Macaca fascicularis: one gene and its partner. The protein of the gene in region 2 purifies or fractionates together with the protein of the main gene of each other region. This does not show direct contact. Links are inferred from orthologs where the notes say so. Each region holds a gene or a part of one and is shown on either strand. Other genes may lie near its edges. The genes, in order: ARF1 and PLD1.

The links.
Region 1: the proteins of PLD1 (region 2) and ARF1 purify together in Homo sapiens (affinity purification with western blotting; 3 studies listed by BioGRID, with this or other methods). This does not show direct contact. The link is inferred for Macaca fascicularis from reciprocal best matches to the Homo sapiens genes PLD1 and ARF1.

What each region holds. Positions count from the first base shown.
Region 1 is NC_088375.1:85,988,974-85,998,017, reverse strand, and holds the start of ARF1 (ADP-ribosylation factor 1), read right to left. Parts: upstream 5,026-9,044; 5' UTR 4,278-5,025; coding exon 4,216-4,277; intron 1-4,215. UniProt on the Homo sapiens protein: Small GTPase involved in protein trafficking between different compartments. Modulates vesicle budding and uncoating within the Golgi complex. In its GTP-bound form, triggers the recruitment of coatomer proteins to the Golgi membrane.
Region 2 is NC_088376.1:83,278,116-83,287,240, reverse strand, and holds the start of PLD1 (phospholipase D1), read left to right. Parts: upstream 1-2,996; 5' UTR 2,997-3,136; intron 3,137-3,691; exon of another isoform or gene 3,692-4,121; intron 4,122-9,125. UniProt on the Homo sapiens protein: Function as phospholipase selective for phosphatidylcholine. Implicated as a critical step in numerous cellular pathways, including signal transduction, membrane trafficking, and the regulation of mitosis.

The DNA of each region.
Region 1 (9,044 bases), on a different chromosome or scaffold from region 2:
GCACAAGTGACTCACCACCAAGGAGAGGAGAAAACAATGGCAAAGGAATGTTTATCAGGCCCCTAGGGCTCATGAAGATCAACTGTATACATCTGCAGATGTGCTTTCCCTAAAAATTAAGTTTGTCACGAAAAACCTATCATGTCAACAAGGAATTTCATGCTGTTTAAAAACTGTACTCACGTGTGGGTTAGTCTGAACATTCATTTGACTGTAAAAATGTGGAAAAATGGGGTTGAAGATGCTGAAGGTAAAAAAGTGTGGCAGCTCAGTGATGTCAGACACCACAAGAGGGATGCATGTTCAAAATCTGTTTTCTAAACCTGCCCCCAGGTCCTCAGCTGGTGAGTAGGTATACATTTTTTTTTTTTTTTTTTTTTTAAGAGCTAAGATTCTTGCTCTGTTACTCAAGCTGGAGTGCAGTGATATGATCACAGCTCACTGCAACCTTGACCTCCTAGGCTCAAGTGATCCACTCTCCTGCCTCAGCCTCCCAAGTAGATTGCACTACACAGGTGTGAGCCACAGTGCCTGGTTAATACAAATATTTTAAGGAATATGTCACCACCAAAACTGCCAGATGTATTCATAGTATTTTAAATATAAATCAATAAATTTGATTAGTGAGTGAGCAACTGCATTCCCATCTACAGAAGATACGAAGCACAGGCACATCTAACTGCCTGCATTCCCAATCCTCAGGATAAGTCTAGATATCATCTAGCAATAGTCCTCTTGACCATTTATACCTAAATCAAACCTATAAAATACTTAAAAGTTTCCCGTATAGTGTATATGGTACTGCAAAAATAACTTGCTGTGTGACACAAATGGAAAGATGTCTCATATCTAGCCATGCTACCACTGGAAGTCCTTTGGAAATGAATCTTTCTAGCTTGCTGGCATCCCTTCAGGGAGTAAAAACTATTTTAATACATTCTGCCTAGAAGATTTTCAAAACACACTATTTTGAGGACACAGGAAAACCCAAACTCAGTTTCTCACACACTCTTATAACACAGGTCGCTTCTCACACCACATGAGCAGGGGTTTCTCCACACATGCCAAGTAAGCAACCAGTTCTGCGTTCTGCAGCAGACACCGGATAGGTGTCCTTTAATTCAGTTCAATCCTGACACTGTCCACCTGGAGGCAATCACAAGCTCCAGGTTATTTTACCTGTGCTTCTGGACAACCATCTATAAATCAGGGTTCCCATAACTCCTTCCCCTTGGGTTCAATTAATTTGCTAGAGTGGCTCACAGAACTCAGAAAAACACTAAAGTTTACTGGTTTTTCATAAAGGATATTACAAAGGATACAGATGGAGAGATGCATAGGGTGGGGTATGAGGGAAGAGACACGGAGCTACCTTGCCCTCCTGGGCGTGCCACCCTCCAGGAACCTCCATGAATTCAGCTTTCTGGAAGCTCTCTGAAAGCCCAGGCAGGCCTTTTGGGTATTTCCCATCAACAAGGAATTTCATGCTATTTCAGAATTGTACTTAAGTGTGGTTCAGTCTGAACATTCCTTTGTACAAATGTGGAAACACGGGGCTGTAGATGCTGTTAACTACTGAAGGCAAAAGTGTGGCTTCATGATATTAGTGTGATTGATTAAATTATTGGCTACTGGTGACCAGCTCAATCTTCAGTCCCTCTCCACTCTGGGGAAATTGGAGGGTGGGGCTGAAACCCTCTAATCCTACCTTGGCCCCGTGACTAGCCCTACCCTGAAGTTTCGTAGGGGCTGCCCGTCACTGGTCAACTCATTAGGGTACAAAAAGACATCATCACTTTGGAGATTCCAAGTATTTTAGTAGTTGTATGGCAGGAAATGGGAGGCAGGCCAGATATGTATTTTGCAATCCACAACTACAGACTTCTAACTTCCTGAAATGTTCATGGACTGAATCAAGTCTCCCGTTCACTTCATGCTGTACACTAACAGTGAGCCCTGGGCCTCCGGGGTGTGGGAGAACGTCTGCCTTCTAAACAGAATCATTCCCAATTGCTGTGCCTGTGAAAATCTGCCTTTTATGCTTTCCCTGTCTCTTCTCTTGATGTCATTTAGGCTTTTCCTGTTATCAGGGCCTGTAAGAAGCACCACCTTTCCCAGTCTGTTGGCTGACAACCGGCTGCAAGCCCTTGTTACCACTGTGTGAGAACCAGGAAACCAGGATTAGTCAAGGACATTATGGCTAATCAGCCAGCCTTACTGTCTTCTCATCCCTGTAGATGGTTGAGTGACAGGACCCTGGGGGAGGACCTGAGAGCCTCTTGGGAACAAAAAACATCCAGGACATGTCTGTCAAGTTGCTAACAAGGTCATCTGACCCACCTGAGAATGTGAAACTACCTTCCAAGACGGTGCTGGGCACCTGCACAGCTGTAAGGTGATAAGTGCAACTATGCCTTAAAGAGTTTATAACAACCACAGGAAAATACGAACCTGAGGATGAGGGCAAATCCTGGAATCCCAACATGAAGGGGCTAAACCTTTTCCAAAAGACCACTTCAGATGCTACAGGCAGGATACCCCTACCAACCAACCACACCAATGAGGAGCAGGCACAACACAGAAAACACAAGTTCTCATAATTTAAGATCCCCACTGCAAGGCCTTTTCCTGTTTCTCTCCCAATTACCTCTGACAGTGCACTCTACTTCCTTTCACCCTCTTGAGTTTACCGAGGTGAAAGGTCAGGGGGAGAGGACAGAATGCCTATGAGAGACAGTATGGGCCTGCCAGCCCAGGCTGGCTGCAGCCTCTTGCTCAAGAGAATGGTCACAGCTCAGGAAGAAGTGTGTACAAAAGCTTGGTGAGCATGGCCTGTGAGTAAGAGCTGGTTTAAATACACCAATGAGACATTTAATTTGAAGAATCTAGAAAAAACTGCTTCAACTCTCTGAAACCACAGTCATATACTTTGCGTGTGAACTTGCACAACAGGTTTTTTTCTCTTAGTTAGGTCTACTTCTATGATCACTGCAGCAGCTGACAGTCCATATTAAATTTTACTGAAGTGAAAAATGAAAGGCCAAATGCATCTTCGAAGCTATGGTTTCAAGCCTGTCCAGTCTGTAGGGGCAGATGAGCAGGTGAAGATGTCTGAATGTCCTCTCCATATTGTGCAAGAGGTACAGCGCATAGCTAGACTACATGATGTACAAAATCAGAACTGTGAGGGGCACAGAACCAGTTTTTGCTTTTCACTCACAGTCATTCTGTGACTCAGCTGTTGTCCAAACCAACTGTTTCAAATCTTTTTCAACTAGCAAATCTGAAAAACTGCCTGACAGGCAACAGCATATTCCTACTGCTGCAATGATTTGGATTTATTTTCAACAAGATACACCTAAAGACAAGTGACAGATATTCTCCGGTCTACCAACATGTGAAAACGTGGACAACACACCTCTAACAATGTGGCCAATCAGATGTGTATACTAACATTTATACTACTCAATTCTTCTCAATTTTGGACCCAGCTAATAGTACGGCATTTCAGGACCTTATGGTTCTGGCTACCTTGGTAGTGCTGGTGAAAATTCAAATTAAATGAGGACATCATCCATGCAGTCACACGTGTTAGACAATGGCTAACGCAAAAGCAGAGGGCCACAGGGGCCGCACACAACCGCACCTCGGCATCTCACACTCCTCCCAACACACTGCGGAAAACGACAGAACCACCAGCCTTGCAACAACCGGCGGCAGAGAAAACTGCTGACCACTAGTTCTGAAACAAGAAATACAACTGCCCACTCCAATAGGGGCAGTGGCACCAACTCTACAGCTCTAAACTAGGCGGCGACTTCGGGGACCATCCAAAGACTCCGACCTCCCTTCTTTTTCTGCCCGCGATTCCGAGCGCATTTCTGCTCAATTCCTGCAAAGCAGCAACTGGCTGCCTGGACGGAAAGGGAGTCCGCCAGGAGGTGCCGTCGGAATGGTTATCTAACACTCTAGGTGCGCACGGCTGTCCAGACCCAATCTCACAAGCCGTAACCACCCAGGCTGTGCCCCGAGAGAGCGCTGGGGCCGGCCTCTGCGGCCTAGAGTCTACGAGCAGGTCGTTCCGCAGGCAAGTTAAAGATTCACCAGCTCAAAAGAGGCCTTCTTATCTACTGCCGACAACGTCAAGGAAACCACCCTGGAGTTAAAGCGAACATCGACCGGCCCTCTGGAAGCCACCGGAGACTTCATACTGACCCCAAATCGCGTCTCACTGTTGTGAAGGGAGGCACTCTGGGCTTCCCCGGAGGTCCACGCATTCCGTTCAGCAGACAGGGAAAGGCGCAGGGTCCCTGTCCACTGCCCGCCCGCTCGCTCTCACCGCCCCTGACCCAGTGCCTTCCTCAGAGGAAACACGAACTGGATGGAGTCGGGAGGCGAAGGTGCAAGCCCCCACCACCTACGTGACCTTGACGGTGTCTTGGGGCCGCCTGAGCCTCAGTTTCCCGGTCCCCGAGGCAGCGGTCCGCCCGGATGCCGCTCGCTAGCCTGTACTCGGGTGGAGGAGGCCCCACAACCCCCACCGGCCCCCGAGACCGCTAACCCCAACTCTCCACGCGCGGGCGGCCTCGGGAAACGTGAGGGGCAGAGGTAAGGGAAGCAGGAAGCCCAGGTTTCCTGGAGAAGAGCCTGGCGTCCCGGCTGACTTCCGGGCGACGGGCGGGGGCAGGGACTGGCAGAGGAGGACAAGGGGCCGCGGGCGACTCCGGGAACCTGTGAGGGGCGCGAGGAGCTCACCGACCCGCCCGCCCTCCCAGCCCCGACTCCCCAGCCTCAGCCCGGCCCGTCCTCGTCCGCCCCCGGCCCGGCCCTGTCGCCGCCGCCGCCGCCGGGATCGAGGTGCCCTTCGCGAACCTCAAGTCGCCCCGAGGCCAGTCCCCAGACCCCGCCGGCTCCAACTTGTGTGCGGCCCACACCGACCCGCGCCCCTCGCCCTCACCTCAGAAGCTGCTGCTTCGAGCCAGGCGTTGGTTTCGCTCCCACAAGATGGCGGCTCTGACGGCGGCCACGTCAGCGCCTGCGGGCGCGGGGAACGTCGGGTAAGAGGCGGAGACGCCGGGAGCTCCGCCCCCCGTGCGCCCGCGACGCAGACGCGCTGGCTCCAGAAGGGCTGCAGGGGGCGGGGCCGGGGACACCCAGCCCCGGGCCGAGGTCCTAGCTCGCGCGCGCCTTAGGGGTGCGCACCCGTCTGCGCCTGCGCCTGTGAGTCTTCCGAAAAGACACCTTGTGGCTGCCACACGCCCGTTTGGCAGATTCGGAGACTGAGGCCCGGGGGGCTGCTGCAGCAACTGGAGCGGCGGGGCCGGGTTGCCACCCTCCTCCTCCCCGACCCGGCAGTCACCGCGAGCCCTCGGGGACCGCGTGAGGACTGGGGTGCGAGGCGCCCCTTCGCTGGGATTGGGGTCCCTGGCTCCCAGGCTGCGCGGGTCCGTGTGCCCCGGCCCTGTGGAAACCTGTGGCACTCGCGGGGCCTCGGCGGAAGGTCCGAAGGAGGGAGGCCTGCTATGTCCCCGCACTGGCCTCGGCGCCCCGGCGGCCGCAGTGACTCGCGCGGGCTCATGCCTGGGCTCATGCCGGGGAGTTGGCTACAGATGAAGCAAAGGAGGAGGTGGCCTGGGGACCCCGGGGGGAGGCCGGGGCTGTGGGGGTGGTGCCCAGAAGGGAGGTCACAGCGGTCTCTAATGAGCTGGCCTTTCAGCTGAGATCCAGTTGAGGCGGAGGAGACCCCGCTCCCAGGAAGCCCTCCTGGATTGGTCAGAAGGGAACAGAGGCCTGGCTCTGCCCACCACCCTCAGGTCTTCTTGCCTCTTCCCTTGTGCAGCTGTGAGGGATTGGGCTTGTGGGAGAGCGTCCGTGCAGCACAGTTCTCTGGGTATTCTGGAGGTCGGGAATCAACCTGATTTGTCCAGGGGGAGGCCCGGGGGCAGGGCCTGAGGGGTGGGGTCACTGGGCCTGGCCCAGGCCTCCTGCGCCCCTTTGCTGCCGCCATCACCTACCTTGCTTGCCCCTTGGGCAGGGCATCCTCACTGCCACTGCAGGCTGCGATAGTCGGAGTTCTCCCCCAGGGCTGCACCTGCGGGGGCTTCGAAGGACCCCAGAAGTGGTGACCCTCCTGCCCCCAAATTCAGTCCCTTTTTCTGCCTGGGGCTCCCCTCTGAAATCTCACCTCTGTGAAGCTGCGGCAGGTTGTCTGTTTAGGGGAAGGATGTCTCCCTCCCACCCTACAGGCATCTCAGATACTCTTGGAAAGCCCCAGGGAGGGGTGTGGATGCCTGTGGAGCCTTCTGATTGTGCTGCCTCTCCCGCTCAGCCAGAACTGGGCCATGCTCGGACATTTCATGGGCGATACATGTGGTTATGGCCACTTTAGGGCTGAAGGGACCTGGCTTTGGTTCTCTGATGGCAGAGCATGGCCAGGGGTGGCTCCAGTGTCACTGAGTGGGGATTGTGTGGGAACCAGAGCCTGCTTCCCCTTCCTTTAAAATACTCTATTTTTTTTTTTCTTTTTTTGAGATGGAATCTTGCTCTGTCGCCCATACTGGAGTGCAGTGACACAATCTTGGCTCACTGCAATCTCCGCCTCCTGGGTTCAAGCAATTCTGCTGCCTCAGCCTCCCAAGTAGCTGGGATTGCAGGCGCCTGCCCCTACGCCCAACTAATTTTTGTATTTTTAGTGGAGACAGGGTTTCACCATGTTGGCCATGGCTGGTCTCGAACTCCTGATCTCAGGTGATCCACCCGCCTTGGCCTCCCAAAGTGCTGGGATTACAGGTGTGAGCCCCCGTGCCTGGCCCCTTTAAAATATTTTATTTTAAATGTGAAAAAATGCAGACAGGAAAGAGTGTATGTCAGATACATGCACAGTTTAAAAAGTAATAAAATGGATTTCTGTATACACAGCCCTAGGGTTAAGAAATGTACCTTCCCCAGCCTGGGCAACATGATGAGACCCCATCTCTACAAAAATTTTACAAAGATAGCCAGGTATGGTGACACACACCTGTAGTTCCAGCTACTTGGGAGGCTGAGGTGGGAGGATCGCTTGGGCCCAGAAGTTCAAGGTTACAGTGACCTAGGACTCTGCCACTGCACTCCAGCCTGGGTGGCAGAGTGAGACCCTGTCTGCAAATAATAATAATTTTTTTAAAAGTCCCTTTCCGCTGATTCTGTGCTCCTGGTTTGGCCTCCCCACCACCACCAGGACAAAAGTGATGTCTTCAAGCCAGACAGGCGCAGGGGAGCCCAGGTAGTCACACCCAGATTTCTGCCCCTGGAAGGAGACCCACTAGGGAGCTAAGAAGTGTCAGGCAGTGATTTCCTGGGGAAATTGAGGCCCTGGTGCTCTCCCAACACTGCCTAGGGAGTAGGGATCCCTTTCTCTCTACTCTGAGGTCCCTGGGATCAGATGAGGTTTAGCCAAGAGGGGTGGGATGAGCTGGCTAGAGGGAGGGCATTGGGGGCCAGGCTGGACAGGGACCCTCCAGCCTTTGTGGCTGCCTCCGCTGTCAGTCTCAAAGATGCCAGCTCAGGTGGGGCTGGGCTTCTCTCTTCTGGGGGTGGCTGCACCTGAGAACCAGGTCAGAGACACGGATGCCAAACAACGGAACGGGCTGGCCTCCTAGGGAATGCGGCTAGAGGGACAGATGAGCTGTCTGGAGCAAAGAAGCGGGAATACCCATGTTGGAGACCTAGTAGGCAGCCATTGTGGCTAGGTGAAGGGGACCCCAGCCCACCTCAGGCCTGGCAGGCACTTTGGTCAACCTCTGAGTGCAGGACTATGAAGTGTGCGGCATTTGAGCCAGGTCACAGATGTTCAGAGAGGTCTCACATGTACCTGATGTCACCCAGCTAGGATGAAACCCCTCTGAAGCTTGACTACTCCATGCCCAAGTCTGCTTATTGCCAACACCTTTAGTCTTTCCCCAGCCCTGCCCTCCCTCTTGGGGAACAAGCGCTTTGGTGCCTCTGCAGACTGCAATGTTATCTTGGATTCCTCCAGTGATGGGCAGCTCACTACTACACCAGGCATCCCAGGACAGAGTTCTCCTCTCTGGATTTCCTGCCCCACTCTGTCTCCCACATGGTTGCTCTGCCGGCTCTCTCTGTTGGGAGACTATAGATGGGCTAAAGCTGGAGAATCATACTGCAAGATGCCAGGGCATTCTGCGGGGTGGCACTGCCTCCACCAGAATCAGTACTTTCTCGTCACGCTCAGGACTTAGTCCAAACACTCAACCGCTAAGACCTGTGGCAGGAAGAATTCATACCCTTAAAGACGTCTCTGGGGGGTGAGGCGGGGATAGGACCTTGCTGTCCCCTCTGCCTGGCCCTGTTTCCTTCTCCCCCAGACCCATACCCAAAGCCTACCCTCTGGCTGGTCACACTACAGGACCTGGAGCATGCCACAGGAATTATTATGGCTGTTCTGACTGCATGGGCCCTGGGAGAGGCCCCCACCTCCCAGCTCAGGGTGGCCCTGCCCTGCCTTCTGAGCCTGGGCTGGGGTCTGGGGTCATTCGGGAAGCTGGTGGCCAGTGGTGGGGGTTCCAGGGGATTGCCTGCACTACATAATGGCTTAGGAAATTACAGTTGAGTTCCGTGAACTCCAGGGAGTTAGCTCATATTCCTCTGACTTCTGGTCCTTTTGAAGCATCACCTGTTTCCCCTAATACTCCAGCCTCAGTTTCCCCATCTCATTGCCAGCCCTCCAAACCTCAGATGAAAGCCTAGAGCTGCACATGCCCCTCCTCTGGACTAGCTCTCGGGGGACCTTGTTTTCCCAGGCAGGCTGGCTTCTCAGGGCAAGGACTGTTTTCTGTCTGGTTCCAGCCTCTTGTCATGCCTAGGTGGACAAATGGGGAGCCAGTGAGGTGAGCACCCTGGGGAGGGGTTGCAGAAAAGCACATCTTGGCTCTTCTTAACCTCTGGGTGACATTTAGCATTTCCTCCCATCTTGAATGCAAGCAGCATTCCCAAAAAGCAGTATTAGCAGTACCTGTGGTTTTTGTTGCTGAAATATCAGAACT
Region 2 (9,125 bases):
GAAATTGCTCTCTTGCCAGGACTATGCCTATTTGGGGAGAGGTAATTTTCTACAAGAAAATGGAACTGTCAGAAAAGATGACCGATGTTGGTATCCCAAAATGACCCAGATGATCTGGATGGCAGTGTTTGTATAAAATGTACCACAAGGGAAAATCTGGGGGAGCACCATTAGTATGTAACTATTATAAAATAGTTCTGTTTCTGTTGAAAGCATTATTACAAATTAACAAGAAACTAATTTGCCATAGAAAAAGAACAGACAATGGACATGAATAGATCATTTTCAGTAAATGGCACAAATAATAACATGAAAAAATAGTGTTTAGCATTACTGACTATAAACAAGTTGATTAAAACAAGATATGATTTTGATTCATGACATTTTCAGGTTACAAGCAAGGCAACATTTAATACTGGAAGGTAATTTTGCAGCCTCACACAGCACCTTTAAAAAATGCTGATCCAGTATTTCTACTTTTAGGAATCTATCCTAAGAATGTAGAGATCTTGACAAAGATGATGCAACGTAGTGTTCATTCCAGCATGATCTGTAAACTGCAATAAAGTCTGAAAATATCCTAAAACATTTGATAAGTGATTGTAATAGTCTTCAACCATAGAAATGATACCTTAGAGAAAATTTAGTGACAGTAAATAATACTCCATTTATAAATACTTAGTGAGATAAGGAAGATTCTAAATTCCGTACAGCACGGTTTTAATTTTATAACAAACCTTTAGGCATAGAAAACATAAGGAAATATACTAAATGCTAATAGAGAGTGTGTGGGGGAGTTATAGGTGATTTTAATTAAAAATGTTTTTCTGTGGTCTCTAAAACATAGATGTCCTTTTTTTCTAAAATATAGATGTCAAAATTATAAAAATGAACATATATTGTTTTTATTCTCAGAAGAAAATATAACAACAGGATTTCAAATACCACTTTGACAAAAATGTCAAATGCATATTGAGATGAATGTATAGCATGATTACTTAGTCATCGTTTCTTGACATATTTGAAGATACGAAAGATTTGGAAGAAAAATCACAAAATCTCTCAGTAAAATAAAAATAATTACATACAAAATTATACTACTTCTAAAACTTATGTTTGGGAGTCCATAAGCTTAAGTTCATCTCTAAACAACATATGGCATTTCCTCTTTTATTCCTCTATCCCAGGGAGGCAGAAATTCAGTTACTGTAAGGGCACTTAGATAATTTTCTTTCTTTCTTTCTTTCTTTCTTTTTTTTTTTGAGACAGAGTCTTGCTGTGTCACCCAGGCTGGAATGCAGAGGCACGATCTCAGCTCACAGCAACGTCCTCCTCCCAGGTTCAAGTGATCCTCCTGCCTCAGCCTCCCTAGTAGCTTCGATTACAGGCACCCGCCTCCACCTCCGGTTAATTTTTGTATTTTTAGTAGAGCTGGGGTTTGGCCATGTTGCCCAGACTGTTCTTGAGCTCCTGACCTCAGGTAATCAACCCACCTCGGCCTCTCAAAGTGCTGGGATTACAGGCGTGAGCCACTGCGCTTGGCCTAGATAATTTTATTTCTAATTAGATTTAGTAGAAAGACCTATTGTTGGAGGCAAGTGCCAAATGTTTTCATAGTGACACTTAAGAATTTGGGATGCAATTTTATAGGCTGCTGCTTCTCAACCAAAAGCATTATAATTTCTAAAGACAAGCTTGTAAGAATGCAGTTACGTGTGTACACAAGACTTATCAGACCATCTGTGACTAATAAAGCTTGAGAAAGAGGGGAGGAGAGAGGGTATTCTGCCTTCCAGTAACATGCTTGTCTGAAACTTGCTAAACTCCTCTTAGGCAATACTCTGCTCAGAGAGCCATGTGTTTAATTGTAAAAACCTGTCAGTATCATAGGATTCAAAAGACATCAATCATTTATGTCAACAAGGAAAGAGTGAGGGCTGTATGACTCTTCTATCATTAGGAAAAGATGTGCTCAAGAGACAAAAACGTGGTCTAAGGAGGGCTGAGCAACTGTAGGTTACAGGAAAACTGAGTTCCAGACTATAATTTGGCCCCCCTCCCCTAATTTGGACTGGTATATTATATTTTTCATTTCATGTAATGCCATGTGTGCAGTAAGACATTATGTAACTTGGCCAGTCTCGGTGTGTAATATCCACTAAATGCTTTAAAGTGGCTGAGGTTATTAGCAGTTTGGTGCATGGGGAGGCCATTGCTTCCCTTGGCTTTGGCGGGATGCAATATTGTGTAATGAGGTTGGAACTGGCCTATATTCAAAATTACATTCCCAAAGGGCTGCTTATTCAAGCCACATGACAACTGGTTCTCTTTTTCTTAAGACTTCATTCTAAGTGGACTAAAAACAGCAAAATTGCCATGTTTGAACAGTTCCATAGGTAGACTGGGTCTTTTCCTTGTTTTGCTCCCAATTTATTATTTTATACTAAGATTTCTGAACTACACCCAGTTTTAGAGACATCGGGACACAAATTCCCGTCCCCCTCCATCTAAGCTGTGTGACCTCAGGCTGGTTACTTCATGATTCTGAGCCTTCATTTCCTTACCTGTAAGTTGGCGTTAACACTTCCCTAAGGAGGTGTAAGTCTTATAAAGACGCCAGCAAAGCTCCAGTCTCTTAATTATGTCGCCTCAGGCAATTTATTTAGCCGTTTGATTTGCGGATTCCTTACTTACAAGTTGGACCAGTTGTGGCTACTATCCGCAGTAGTCGAGGAATAGGTATGATAGGCAAAGCTCCGGCAACGGTGGCTGGCCCTTGGCGGCTCAAGAGGACCTGATAATGGTCCTGCTAGCGAGCATGCCCTAGTGTAATGCGGTCGAGTCATGAAACTTTGGGAAAAGAGAGAACAAGGAAAGCGGGCGATCAGAGGCCCAGCCGCGAGACCCGCCCCGCTGGGGCCGCCAGCCTGCACCGCGACGCCCCAGGACCCGGCACCGCCTCGCTCCACCCCTGCGAATCCGGGGCGAATCCGGGCGGAGAGTTCCTGGCGGCCGCGCAGCGCAGAGCACCCTCCCGCCCGCCTCCCTCCGGTTGAGCTCCAGCTGTGCCAGAGGCACGCGGGCCTGGAGAGTCCGCAGCCAACGCGCAGGTGCTAGCGGCCCCTTCGCCCTGCAGGTAGGAGCCGCGCCGAGACCCGCATCACCCGGCGCCTGTGGGAGCCGGGTTTCCCCTGCCTTCGCCTTCAGTCCCTTCTGGCTCCCAACCCGGTCAACTGGCCGCTCCCCGCCCAACTTGGACGGGACTTCAGTGAGTGAGTCGGCAGCGGACTCCCCAGCGATCCCCAAGGGCCTCCCTTGCACGGCTTCGGGTGGAATTCCTGCAGGGTGAAAGCTGACCACTCAGGCACGCACTTTTGCAGCGCGGGCGGCTGCCTGGAGCGCAGAGCCGCGCAGGCTCCAGGCTGAAGCCCGGGCGTCCTCTGCAGGATGCACCGCCCCGCCGGCGCGGGGCTTCGGGTGCAGTGTGTGTGGTGTCCCCAGGTCATCCGGGCGCCCTTGGTTCGGAGGCGCGGTGGCATGACTGGGCTGGTGGGGGCGATGGGACCAGCATCCCGTACCAACCAGGAAGTGCCGCGTCCCAAAGCTTCGAGCCCAGCCCTCAGAGCACGGTCCCGGGGGTGTGGTCACAGCCGCGGGTGTCCGCGCCTCCAGCCATGTGATGTGACCACTCGGAGGCGGGGCGGGGGGCCCGGGGGCGAGCAGCAGGGCGTGTGTAAAGGGTCTTGTTCGTCACAGTACGATTCAAGGTATTTGGGACCTAGGGCTCAGATCCAGGAGTGCGGTCCTCCAAGCCTTCCAAAGGATTTTGTGACGCCCTTGAGAACCGCCCTTGTAGACTCAGTCCTGAACTACCGCCACGCCTGTGTTTGCTCCTCCTCATCTGGGATTATTGCCTTCTTTACTTCCTCTGTGAAGCACTAAATACGAGTAGCTTTTTAAGAACAGACCACAACAGTTTCTTCGTTTGACTATCACTAAGTCTGTCTCCAGAATGGGGAGCTCCGTTAACTTTATCAGCCAGCCCTGCCAATTTTAGTTAAGATAAGCCTTTGTGGGCCTCCAAAGACCTCTGAGAGACTAGGTACCCAGAGACCTCTGAGGTATGTTAAATGGTTTAATTCGTGGTGTTGCAATTAAAACTTAAAGAAGGAAAGGAATCTGCCATTTGAACTGTTAACAGACACCACATTTATACACTGCCTATTTGAATAAGAATCTCTTTCGATATTAAATGTTTTGTGACACACAAGTGAATTTGTACACAGTCTTTTAGCTTGAATTTGTAGACAGCCTTTAAATGTTGTTTGGGGATCTTTGGACTAATTGTATAAGCGCCCAGTCTGGCTTCTCAAGAACCAGTACAGTTAACAATCCATATAAAAAGTTGGAATGCTGCCTGGGCGCGGTGACTCACGCCTGTAATCCCAGCACTTTGGGAGGCTGAGGTGGGCGGATCACCTGAGGTTAGGAGTTCGAGACCAGCGTGGCCAACATGGTGAAACCCCGCCTCTACTAAAAATACAAAAATTAGCCGGGCGTGGTGGCACACACCTATAATCCCAGCTACTCGGGAGGCTGAGGCAGGAGAATCGCTTGAACCCGGGAGGCGGAGGTTGTAGTGAGCCGAGATCATGCCATTGTACTCCAGCCTGGCTGAAAGGGCGAGAGTCTGTCTCAAAAAAAAAAAAAAAAAAAAAAAAAAAAAAAAAAAAAAGAATACTAAGGCTTTGAGGAAAAAATGTCTTTACAATGTTTGTTCCTGATGACAGAATAATTATGAACTATAGTAAGTGCTGTACAACGCTCATTTAGGTTTGTAGACTTACTTATAACTAGGTGGTGGGGAACCGTGCTTCTTGAAAGTTGTATGATTACTTAGTGTTTCTTAATTAAAAACATAGTTACAAATTTTATTTACCTTTAACTCTTACATGGTTTTAAATTTATTTTTGTTCCGAAGGAAAAGTAGGACTGTCATTTTTAAAAAAAAAAATTTCCAATTTTATTTTAGATACGGGGATACATGTGCAGGTTTGTTACACGGACATGTAGCATGAAGCTGAGGTTGAGGGTACAACTGATCCCATCACCCAGGTAGTGAGCATAGTACCTGATAATTTTTTAACTTTTGCTCTCCTTCCTCCCTCCCACCTCTAGTGGTTCCTAGCGTCTATTGTTGCCATCTCTATATCCATAAGTGCCCAATGTTTACCATATATATATATATATATATATTTATTTATTTATTTATTTATTTTGAGACAGAGTCTCACTCTATCTCCCAGGCTGGAGTGCAGTGGCACGATCTCGGCTCACTTCAAGCTCCGCCTCCCGGGTTCACACCGTTCTCCTGCCTCAGCCTCCCCAGCAGCTGTAGTACCTTCCACTTATTAGTGAAAACATGCGATGTTTGATTTTCTGTTCCTGCCTTAATATGCTTAGGATAATGCCCTCTATCCGCATCCATGTTGCTACAAAGGACATGATTGTGTTATTTTTTATTGTTGCATGGTATTCTATGATGCATATGGACCACATTTTCTCTTATCCCGTCCGCAGTTGATGGGCATCTAGGTTGACTCCATTTGCTATTGTGAATAGCGCTGTGGTGAACATATGAATGTGTGTGTGTTTTTGGTAGAACAACTTATTTTCTTTTGGATATATACGCAGTAATGGGCTGCGGGGTTGAATGGTAGTTCTGTTTTGAGTTCTTTGAGAAATCTGCACCTGCTTTCCACAGTGGCTGAAATAATTTACGTTCCAACCAACAGTATATAAATGTTCTCTTACAGGATTTTTTTTAAAAAATTTTCTTTTAATTTCACTTTTGTTGTAGTAAAAGATGCACAACATAAAATTTACCATTTTAGCCATTTTTCAGTGTGCATGTAGTGGCATTAAATACGTTCACATTATTGTGCTACTGTCACCACCATCCATCCACAAGACTCTTCATCTTTCTTACAGGGTTTTAATAACATTTTAATGATAATGGTTGTGTTGCAGGCTTTAGTTTTATCACTAAGCAAGGTTTGAGTTCCTTCTCGTAGCTTTAGAGAAATGCACCTTTTAAACTTTTTTTTTTCTGAGGCAGGGTCTCACTCTGTTGCCCAGGTTGGAGTGTAGTGGCACAACAGTCTTGACCTCCCAGGCTCAAGTGATACTCCCATCTCAGTTTCTGAGTAGCTGGAACTATAGGTGTGCATCACCACCCTTGGCCAGTTTTGTTTGTTTGTTTGTTTTTGTAGAGATGAGGTCTCACTGTGTTGCTAAGGCTGGTCTTGAATAACTGGGCTCCAGCAATCCTCCCATTTCGGCTTCCCAAAGTGCTGGATTACAGGCATGAGCTACCATACCCAGCCAAGAAATGCACTTTTAAAAGAGAAAAGGTAAAAAGCCATAAACAGACTGTTTAACAAATCTTATCTACAGCCGGAAAGGCCTAATACGTTACTGTTTGAAAATAAACTTGTGATGTATTTAAACTTTTATCTAAGGGTATTGTGGGGTTTAGCTATCAAGAGGAAGGAACACGTAAGGCAGTTACTGTTATTGATCATTTCCTCTCCTGAGTATCTATCAGAAAAATGGCAATTGTCAGTGTTGTTGTCTTTAGCAGTGCAATAGTACCTATCTAAATTATGCTTGAACTCAGGTAATGTTGCCTTCTTAGTAACTAAAGGCAATGTTGATCAAACTTGAAACTACATGTAGCAATTTCCTGTCCATCCCAGGTGTTTACTAAAGATTGATACTACGGGACCCAACACATAAGATATGTCTCTTTAAACTTGTAGTTAGGCTGAGTCATTGTGTTCACAAGAAAAGCTGTAACTTTGCAAGGTCTGGTTTTATGTTTACAATCCTTTAAGTCTGAGCACCACAAAATAAAATGTATTTGCTGGGGGGGTGCGGTTAAAAGTTGTCGCAGGGTTAAAACGAGAAACATGTAAACCTAACTTTCCCATAGGCCTGTGACATTTCTGGTTACAAAGAGAATCATACAAATCACATCTTATGCTTCAGTGGGAACACATTCCAGTGTGTTAGTTTCCCTAAATTCACACTACAGTGTAAAATCTGGACCCCAGCTGTTTTAGTGCTGGGTTATTAAGCAAAAGTGTATGTTATATAAGTGTTTCATAGTATCACAGGTTTTTTTCCTATTGCAAAACTTTCTTAATTTTTAAATTTATTGAGCAAACATTACAGCGGCAGAATAAAATCAATTATTTATTTAATAAACACTTACATGGTGTTTACTTTGTGCCTTGCACTTGTCTAAGCATTTTACAAACATGAATACATTTAACCCTCAAACAACCCTGTAAAGTAGGTAATCTTATTATGGCCATTTTATTTATTTATTTATGTTTGTTTTACTGTATTTTATTTTGTAGAGATGGGGTCTTGCTATGTTGCCCAGGCTAGTTTCAAACTTCTGGGTTCAAATGGTCCTCCTATCTTGGCCTCGAAAAGTGCTGGGATTCACAGGTATGAGCTACTGTGCCTGGCCTATGCCCATTTTATAGATGAGGCAGTTTGAGGCATAGTGAGATCCCACAACTAGCTCATGGCAGAGCTGGGGATCCATCTCTGGCAGCTTGCACCCAGAGTTTTGACATTGCTGTCTGTTTAGAAAAAAACATAACCTGTGATTCCATCCTCCTAACAAACTTTTTTTTTAAGGTTTTTTGATTCCCATTTTGTCTTTGTTCTTTGACGTAATCGCAATTATAGTGCAACTCAGACAATCTGTTCAAGTCCTTTACTTTTCGGAAGAAGAAATTAAGGTGGAACATGGGTATGTCCAAGGGTAGAAGCACTGGGGCAGGGTCCTGGAGATCCTCTGCTGGGCCAGGCCTTAACTCCCTGATTGTAAGGAGATTGGGCCAGGGATCCTGGGAGAGTCTGGGAGGCCAGGGCTGTGTTTGGGAGGAGTTGGGTGTTATTTGCCAATCCAGAGGGAAGCATTTCAATATTTTAAAAATTGTTATGACCATACTAGAGCTAATCTACTAAATAAGGGCCCACGTTATGGCCGACTGGGTCATGGGAGGTCTTGCTTCCTAGGGCTCCAGAATCCTGGATTGCTTCCCCCGTTGCTGCTAATGCTCATGACCCTCAGCTCCCCCTCTGGATGAGGGCAAGATTTTATTCTGTACTCAATCATTTTTTGAACTTTTTGGATCTAGAGTTGGGAACCTTTTGGAAGCCTCTGACGCACAAAAGAAAATCAGCCAAAATCAACATGGAAATAAAAATAACTTGGTTTAGTCAGTTCTTTTGTTAAGAAAGAGAGAGAGACACTTCTAAGGCCGTAAACTTATGAACTTTATATTAAGAACAGGAAAATAAGGGTTCAGAATTTAACAGTGATCTTTTTCAAAGTAGGCTTTTACAGATGGCACATTTAGATGAAGGCGAATAGGAATAAACATGGGGAAAAGGAAAGCCGTAGAAAGGGAGGGGAGAAACAAGTGCAGAGATGAGGCATTGGCAGAGAGCCATAGATAGGAAGCATGGAGCTAATACCTTTGTCAGTTCTTTACAAAAAGCCTGCGTCTCAGAGTGTTACCACCGGATGATGCCTTCAAAATATCATAAGCAGTTGCAAATGATCTTTCCTTTGGTTTATCTTGATGGGATCTTAATGTTTAAACTGTTGCTAATCAACAAAGCATGTGGACAATAAGATACAAGGGAACTCTTGGCCCCTGATTGGGATCTTCATAACAGTCTAGTCTAGTTTGGTTTATGCCACTTTCCGTGGGTGGATTTTATATGTAGTGTGATATTAGAATCACTGGATTTGCCGTTATTTTTTCTATTGACAGTCTTCCCTGTGACAGGGCAAGGTTCTTGAGGTCACAGACTGTGTTTTTGTCATTTTTGTGTCTACAGTGTCCATTGTAGTGTACAATAGATGTGAGCTGAATGACAGGGTACATGGATGAAGGGAGAAGGTGTAATCCATTTTGTTAAAAATACATAGGTATTTCCAGAAAATAAGTCTTTATAATTAATGTTGTACTTATTTATTTGCTCCATGGTGCCATTTAACTATTCTTAAAAATAAAATGTGTAGATGTGGAATGGAC